2 linked regions of the Mus musculus genome follow. The protein of the gene in region 2 purifies or fractionates together with the protein of the main gene of each other region. This does not show direct contact. Links are inferred from orthologs where the notes say so. Each region holds a gene or a part of one and is shown on either strand. Other genes may lie near its edges. The genes, in order: Canx and Gba.

The links.
Region 1: the proteins of Gba (region 2) and Canx purify together in Homo sapiens (affinity purification with mass spectrometry; 3 studies listed by BioGRID and IntAct, with this or other methods). This does not show direct contact. The link is inferred for Mus musculus from reciprocal best matches to the Homo sapiens genes GBA1 and CANX.

What each region holds. Positions count from the first base shown.
Region 1 is NC_000077.6:50,297,942-50,301,753, forward strand, and holds part of Canx (calnexin precursor), read right to left. Parts: intron 3,114-3,812; coding exon 2,957-3,113; intron 1,404-2,956; coding exon 1,188-1,403; intron 296-1,187; coding exon 176-295; intron 1-175. UniProt on the Homo sapiens protein: Calcium-binding protein that interacts with newly synthesized monoglucosylated glycoproteins in the endoplasmic reticulum. It may act in assisting protein assembly and/or in the retention within the ER of unassembled protein subunits.
Region 2 is NC_000069.6:89,201,413-89,205,952, forward strand, and holds the start of Gba (lysosomal acid glucosylceramidase precursor), read left to right. Parts: upstream 1-1,515; 5' UTR 1,516-1,674; intron 1,675-1,779; exon of another isoform or gene 1,780-1,948; intron 1,949-2,059; 5' UTR 2,060-2,074; coding exon 2,075-2,129; intron 2,130-2,572; coding exon 2,573-2,764; intron 2,765-2,862; coding exon 2,863-3,009; intron 3,010-4,034; coding exon 4,035-4,168; intron 4,169-4,379; coding exon 4,380-4,540. UniProt on the Homo sapiens protein: Glucosylceramidase that catalyzes, within the lysosomal compartment, the hydrolysis of glucosylceramides/GlcCers (such as beta-D-glucosyl-(1<->1')-N-acylsphing-4-enine) into free ceramides (such as N-acylsphing-4-enine) and glucose.

The sequences.
Region 1 (3,812 bases), on a different chromosome or scaffold from region 2:
CTAGACAGGCTCACTCCATATAAAGGAGAAGAATAGAGTGAAATGACAATTAAGGGACTCTAAATCCTGTCATCATTTGGGTACAAAGAGCCCCTGTAAAACACGGCCCAGTATTTACAGAACTACCACTAAAGAAAATCTCAGTGGATACAATTATTTAGTTAGACATTCCTACCTTTCCAGAACAGCAGAAGAGGATCACAAGGAACACTGGCAAAGCTACAGTCAAAATGTAGACCACCCAAAGCCATGGACGCTCTTCAGCTGCCTCCAGCATCTGCAGCACTACACCTGGCTGAAATACCAAACAACAGTAATTCAGAGAACTGGTTTATGACACCAAATACAGACTCGACTGATTGCTTCATATTCATACAACTAACTCCTTTATTTCCAAAGGAGTCAAACTATGCACATTAAGAAATTAGGAAAAGCCGAGCAGTGGTGGGTGACGCACACCTTTAAACCCAGCACTTAGGAGACAGGCGGATTTCTGAGTTCAAGGCCAGCCTGGTCTACAGAGTGAATTCCAGGACAGCTAGGGAGACACAGAGGAACCTTGTCTCGAAAAACCAAGTTAAAAGAAAACAAAACAAAAAATAGAAATTAGGGGGAAAAAAAAATCCCCCGCTTTACTGCTTTTATCATCATGAAGTTTCACCTGCATAGGTGCAAACTGTGGCTTGTAATAACTGCAAAAAGTTCCTTACTCAGGAAACAGAAGAATTATCTTTCTGCCAGTTTTCTGGCCATCCAAATCGCAACTCAACAACACCATTAGTTATTTGAAAATTCCACACAATTCCAACCAAGATTCAGCATTTTCAGTGCATTAAAACATACTTAAGCCAGGTGCAATAACACATAACTTTAATTGAAACACTGGAGGCAGAGGCAGGTAGGTCCCTGTGAGTTTGAGCCCTCCCAGTCTACAGAGCAAGTTCTAAGACAGCTAGGGCTACACAGAAAAACTGTCTTGAAGACAAAATAAAATAAAATAAAATGATAAACAGATACAAATATACACATACATATAACAGGATTGGAAAGCCAGAATAGGAGTCTAACAATTATATATTTTGACACTGAATAAGTAAAAAGATAAACACTAAAAATCTGCTTTTTATAAAGTAATCAGTCTCCCCCAAAAGTGGATATAAATCCACAATTAATGAACAATCACTAACCTCAGCAGCCCCATCAGCAGCTTTCTTCAGGCCCCACCCATCATTGGCCCAATCATCAACTACTCTTCGGTCACCACTAATGATAAAGTTGTCAAAAAAGATGTCGGATGTCATGGACCAGAGCTCCAAACCAATAGCACTGAAAGGAGTCATCTTAAAAGGTTCTAGGTCTTCAAAGAAATCTGGATTTGGTATTTTCCTTGGTTTCCAGATTCCCTAGTTTGTGATTTGGAGAGGGGAGTAGGTTGGGGGTGAGGCAGAGACAAAAGAAGTTTCAAAACATCATTTCAGATAATAACAAAAAAAGAAAATCTATGTAAGACTCATTTTATATGATCAAAGAAGATAAACATTAACTGCCAAATTTAAACAAGCACAGAACAATAAATGCTAGTAATGTTTTTATACTGAATTCTTGACTTCTACCAAATTCAGTCTCCAATCTGCAGGATCTTATTCTGAACCAACACCTGGTCCTGCGTAGCTCACTCCACCCTCAACAAGTGATGGTGGAATGTAGTCAGTAAAGCCATTTCCCATTCCCCAGAAGTGATTTTAAAAAATGGGCTAGGGATGTAGGCCAGAAACACAGCACTTACACCTAATATGCATGAGACACTGGATTCAGTCTCAATACTAATCCTCAACAAAACACAATTGGTGGTGGCCAACCGAATAGCTAAATGTTTGGTTTGGTTTGGCTTGGTTCAACAGGGATTCATACACCCAGGATAGCCTTAACCTATCCCTGATCTTCTTAGTTATAGCTGAAGTTGACATTTCAACTCCTGGTCCTCATGCAGATAACCAAGTGCTAGAATGACAAGCATGTAACAAAGACATATTCAGATAGTCAAATGGCAAGCTAAAGTATAATTTTTGTTTGATCAGTTATCTAAATGGACAACTAAAAACATTTTACAACAGAAAAGCAAACAAAATATATACATATAGATAGATGCACCATACATCTAAAAGTGTAAGCGAAAATTTATGACTATAGTTTTTTGGTTTAGAAACTGAAGCCAGGAAGGATCTACATTGGTACCTTCCCAGAACACAAGTGGAGCTTCATAGCTTCACTATACATATTACTACCGCTTCATATGTACCTACCTATCTTTGGCAGAAAACTGATGAGACCAAGCAATTAGCTGACTTGGCAAGATCCAATTCCCATCACAGTTCCCTTATAGCCAATCTATGCACTCAACAATAGGGTATCCACACCCTAAGTTCTTCTACCCTACTTTTATTTTTAGATATAGCTCACTATGATGGTTTGAAGAGAAATGGGCTCCATAGACTCATGTGTTTCAATGCTTGGACCATGGGGAGTCACACTATTAGGTGTGGCCTTATTGGAGGAAGTATGTCACTGTTGGGGCAGGCTTTGAGTTCTTGTATGCTCAAACTCTGCCCAATATGGCAGAGTCCCCTTCTGCTGCCTGCAGGCTGCCATGCTTCCCAATATAATGACAATGGAATCAACCTCTAAAACTGTAAGCCAGCCTTAATTACTTTCCTTTCTAAGAGTTGTCTTAGTCATGGTGTTTCTCTTCATAGCAATGGAAACCCAAACTAAGATAGTCACATAGCAAGTTCGAACACTCCTCTTTCCTGTTTTTTAGGTTTTATGTTTAGCCCAATATTCACCTGTCTCTTAAGTTTACTTTCTCTTTTTGATTTGCTGGCCTTACTATTGATCAAGCTTTTGCCCAGACACGAACAAATTAATAAAAACACTTAAACCATCAGGAGACACAAACCTGGTAGTTAGGGTTGTCAATCATTGGAGGCTTCCATTTGCCCTTATAATTGGGGTTGTCAATCATAGGTCGCTGCCAGACACCACACCCAGGGGCTGACTCACACTTGGGGTTGGCAATCTGAGGAGCCTCCCATTCTCCGTCCATATCCTCATCCCTGTGGAGGTATAAACAAACAACTAGTCTTATGCTCTCAACATGTTTCTGGAGCTATACCAGCAGCATATGACAGAACGATATCTCATTTCTCATTTCCACTATCAATGCACTCTCATAAACTACCTACTTTGTTTTTACCCAATGAAATTTAGTAAAGTTTGTAAGGTTTTTCACTCAAACTTGGGCAGTTGGCTTTTTATTTTTCCCTTTAGGTTTTCAGACAGGGTTTCTCTGGTAGCCCTGGCTGTCCTAGAACTCAGTGATCCACCCGCCTCTGAGTGCTGAGATGAAGGCATGTACTACTATACCCAGCTTTTTTTTTTCCCCTTTTGCTTCTTTTTTGTTGTTGTTGTTGTTGGGGGAGAGGGGCACATAGCTATTGCTTTGATTGATTGATTGATTGATTGATTGATTGATTGATTTTGGTTTGCCCAAGACAGAATTTCTCTGTGTAACAGCTTTGGCTGTCCCAGAACTCACTTTGTAGACCAGGTTGGCCTCAATCTCAGAGATCTGCCTGCCTCTGCTGGGATTAAATGCTTGATTTTAATTGGGGCAGTTTAGCAGTTAAGAACACTGGCTTCTCTTCCAAATCCAAGTGAGTTGACACATAGACAAACATTAAGGCAAAACACCAAAGCACATAAAAATAAATTTTTAAAACAAAAACCAGGTAATGACAAAAGCAACCTCAAAC
Region 2 (4,540 bases):
GTATGTGGTAATTATAAGAATGTAAAAACCTCACTCAGCAAGCATAAAGCTCCTAATGTGTAATTACAGACTTCCCTTGACTTCTCTTGCTAACGCTAGTAATGGTTCTGTGAGACTATGCTGGTGTCTATGTTGGGCAAGTGTGGAAACAGGCTCAGACTTCCCTTGACTTCTCTTGCTAACGCTAGTAATGGTTCTGTGAGACTATGCTGGTGTCTATGTTGGGCAAGTGTGGAAACAGGCTCAGAGACCTGGACTTAGTCAGATCACGCTGCATGTGTCACTGCCAATTAATCAACTTTATTGTGGCTCACAAGGAAACCCGGACGACAGCCCTCTTCTTGTGTCCACCAAAGACAGACAGCATTTTCCAGTTTCCTGGGAGGAAGGATGAAGAGCTTTCCAGCCAGCATCTGATGATAAAGCAAGAGAATCCAGAAACGGCCAGTGGGGACCACTCCCTCCCTTGGTCCTGATCTCCAGAGCCCGACAGCAACTCCCTGCACTTACTGTGACTCCCCCCCCCCCCCCCCCCCGCCTGTTCTTCTGGGAAGGGTCCCCTTTCCTCTCAAGGAGTCTTGCAAGTATACCTCTCAACATTTCTGTCTGTCTTCGCCTGTAACTCCGTGTAAGTGTCTGACTCATGTGTCTCACTAGTCTTTTTAGGATAAAGATTGTGTGTATGTGGGGTTTGTTGTTGTTTTTCGAGATAGGGTTTCCCTGTGTAACAGGACTGGCTGTCCTGGAAATTGCCCCATAGACCAGGCTGGCCTTGAACTCACAGGGATCCGCCTGCCTTTTCCTCCCAAGTGCTGGATTTAAAGGCATGTGCCACCAATTCCAGGCTGTATGTGGGGTTTCTAAATTTTGTTTTTATTTATTTTTATTTTTTTAAAAGATTTTATTTGGGGTTGGAGAGATGGCTCAGTGGTTAAGAGCAGTGACTGCTCTTCCAGAGGTCTGGAGTGTCTGAAGACAGCTTACATATAATAAATAAATAAATATTTTCTTTAAAATATTTATTTATTTATTTTTTATATATATGACGAGTACCCTGTAGCTGTCTTCAGACACCAGAAGAAGGCGTCAGATCCCATTACAGATGGTTGTGAGCCACCATGTGGTTGCTGGGAATTGAACTCAGGACCTCTGGAAGAGCAGTCAGTGCTCTTAACCGCTGAGCTATCTCTCCAGCCCCTTGTTTTTATTTTTAAATTTTATTTTTAAATTATGTATATCTGTGTGTCGGTATGTGCATGTGAATACAGTGGCCCTCACAGGCTAGAAGTCCTCTCTGTCTTGGATTTAGGAGCCTCTACTCAGCTGTCCATACAATCCTTGTTAGAATTCTCTTCCTAAAGGTGTCATCCTTTAGGCCTCCCCAAAATTCACAGGGTATGCAATGAATGACTAACCTAGAAGAGCCCAACTGCCCATTACAAATATGGCTTCGATTGCTTCACTTCCTGCATCACGTGACCGGCTTAGTCATCATGTGACTCTGTCCGCCCCTTTAAGCCGGAAGGAACTTGCTGTGCTAGTCGGTTCCAAGAGCTATGATATCTGTCTGTGTTTTATTTGGTAGGTCTTCTATCCCTCCAAGGCACAGAAACTTCCACAGTCTTCTCATTCGCTGGTCCTGAGTAGCTCCAGTTTCCAAGATCTTCTGGAGAGGTAAGCGGGCAGGGCTACAATTTGCCTTGTCAATCTTGCTTCGGGAATTCTGCCTATCTAGATTATGGAATTCGGTGAGTTCAATTTTTTTTTTTTTAAATTCAGGGCATCATGGCTCTTTGAGGGCACAGATGGAGGGAGGGCTGAAGGTTGAAATCGATGGGGGAAAAGAGTGAAGAGAGTCTTCTTTGGAGTGGGCAGCAAACTCCCTAGCAGAGTGAATGAATGCAGGACGCCTCCAGGGTCTACGGGCACTGTCTAATCACTAATAAAGGTGGGAGCCTATGCTGTGAGCATCCACAGGCAGCTAAACTCTGGCCAGGAGGGTGGTTGCAGGGTAGAGAGAGTCTTACACTATTATCTTTCCTCTACATTTTCTTCTCAGAAGTGTGCTGGTGTCATGGCTGCCAGGCTCATCGGATTCTTCCTATTTCAGGCGGTATCTTGGGCATATGGTGAGTCTAGGATGGAGATGGAGGCATGAAGGTGTCCCCTGCCCCCAAAGTCCTCTGGTAGCCTTCCATTATGGTGCTGAAATTTCAGTAGGGACTCTGTAACTCTTTTAGAATGCCTGAGACATCTTTGGGCTGGGAGTATGGTGGAAGGATTTTTTTAAAAAAATATTTATTTATTTATTATATGTAAGTACACTGTAGCTGTCTTCAGACACACCAGAAGAGGGCGTCAGATCTCGTTACAGATGGTTGTGAGCCACCATGTGGTTACTGGGATTTGAACTCCAGACCTTTGGAAGAGCAGTCGGGTGCTCTTACCCACTGAGCCATCTCACCAGCCCGGATTTTTTTTTTTTTAATTGTTGTTCTGTCTCGTACCTAGCATGCCCACTCCCTCATAAACCCGCTTTGATGCCTGCCTCTGCTTGTGCCCTGCCTCCTAGGTGCCCAACCCTGCATCCCCAAAAGCTTTGGCTACAGCTCAGTGGTCTGTGTCTGTAATGCATCGTACTGTGACTCTCTTGACCCCGTGACCTTACCGGCTCTGGGTACCTTCAGCCGTTACGAGAGCACTCGACGTGGACGTCGGATGGAGCTGAGTGTCGGGGCCATCCAGGCCAATCGCACTGGCACAGGTAGCCACTTTATCTGTCCCTCTAAGCCTGGACCCAAAGTCACACCAGTGATCAGCATGTCCTCTTCTGGACTCTGACTTTTCCTCTTCTTTTCCCAGGGTTACTACTCACTTTGCAGCCAGAAAAGAAGTTCCAGAAAGTGAAAGGATTTGGAGGCGCCATGACAGACGCCACTGCGCTCAACATCCTTGCTTTGTCCCCACCTACTCAGAAGCTGCTACTCAGATCCTACTTCTCTACCAACGGTGAGGAGGGCAGAGCAAGGTGGTACACTGTAACTTATGCCCCTTTTCATACCCTGGCTTTATTTTATTTTTAAATTTTTTATTACATTTCATTATCTCTTGTGTGTGCTGTGCATGAGTGAGGGGGAGGTCAGAGGACAATTTTCGGGTGTCCACTGTCCACCATGGGACCCATGGGCTAGAGTCGGGGGTCTTCCCACGGAGCTGTCTTGCCAGGCTTTTTGCTCTTGCTTCCATACTTTTCCCGGACATTTGCCTCCCTTCCTTTTCTTCTCTCCTCGCCTCTGTAATGCTCCTGGAGTAGACCTCATGTGTTCCAGACAAATCTACTGTGTAGTCAGTGATGGCTGAACTCCTGCCTCTCGTCTCCTGAGTGTTGGAATTACAGGTGTGCATTAGCAAGCCCAGTTCACACAGTGTTGGAGCTCAAACTTAGGGCGCCATGCATCCTTGGCAGGCATTCTGCCACCTGAACTACATCCCCAGCCTGCCTCTCAGTTCTTACTCTTTCCCTTTGTCCCATCCCTACCTTGCTTTACCAGGCTTGCCTCGAACACTGTAGCCATGACTAGCCTCGAACTCTTTTCTGACTTAGTTTTCCAAGTGCTGGAATTACAAGTATTATGCCACCAAGTGTACCAGGCCGATGGTTCCTGACTCAGTGCCACTGAAATACGATCACCTTTTTCAATATTCTGCTAAGTACTTAGGAAATACATGTGCAGAGGGGCTTCGGTTTCACTTAGGTTCTGGTCTCCACAAGCCCACACCTAGACCCTGGCTCTGAATGAGGGCCTATTGAGGACTAATAACTGATTAAAGCCAATTTTCATACTCACCTTGTTTTATTTTATTTTATCTTATCTTATTTTGAGACAGGGTCTTGCCTTGTAGCCCTGGCTGGCCTGCTCACATTGATCTGGCTGCCTCAGCCTCAGGAGGAATGGGATCACAGGCATGGTACACTTGGCTCCATAGTCTCCTATTGATTCAGATCTCCCTATCTTGGCCATCAATTCCTGCAGGAATTGAATATAACATCATCCGGGTACCCATGGCCAGTTGTGACTTCTCCATCCGTGTCTATACCTATGCTGACACCCCTAACGACTTCCAGTTATCCAACTTCAGCCTCCCAGAAGAAGACACCAAGCTCAAGGTGGGCATTCTAGTTGCCTCAGCCCTATTGGATTGCCGTCTTGGGGCTGGGAAGGTCCAGGTTAGAGCTGTCTCTAGAGCAACATGGAACATTCTGCAGCCTATTTGACTTGGGGGTAAGAGGGTGGGGGCTGATGGTTGGACCTGATGCACTGGTAGAACTAGTATGTGTTCCAGCTCTGGGTGTCTCTCTCTTCACTGTTTGTCTCCAGATACCCCTGATTCACCAAGCCCTGAAGATGTCCTCACGCCCCATTTCACTCTTTGCCAGTCCCTGGACATCACCCACTTGGCTCAAGACCAATGGAAGAGTGAATGGGAAGGGGTCGCTCAAGGGTCAGCCAGGGGATATCTTTCACCAGACCTGGGCCAA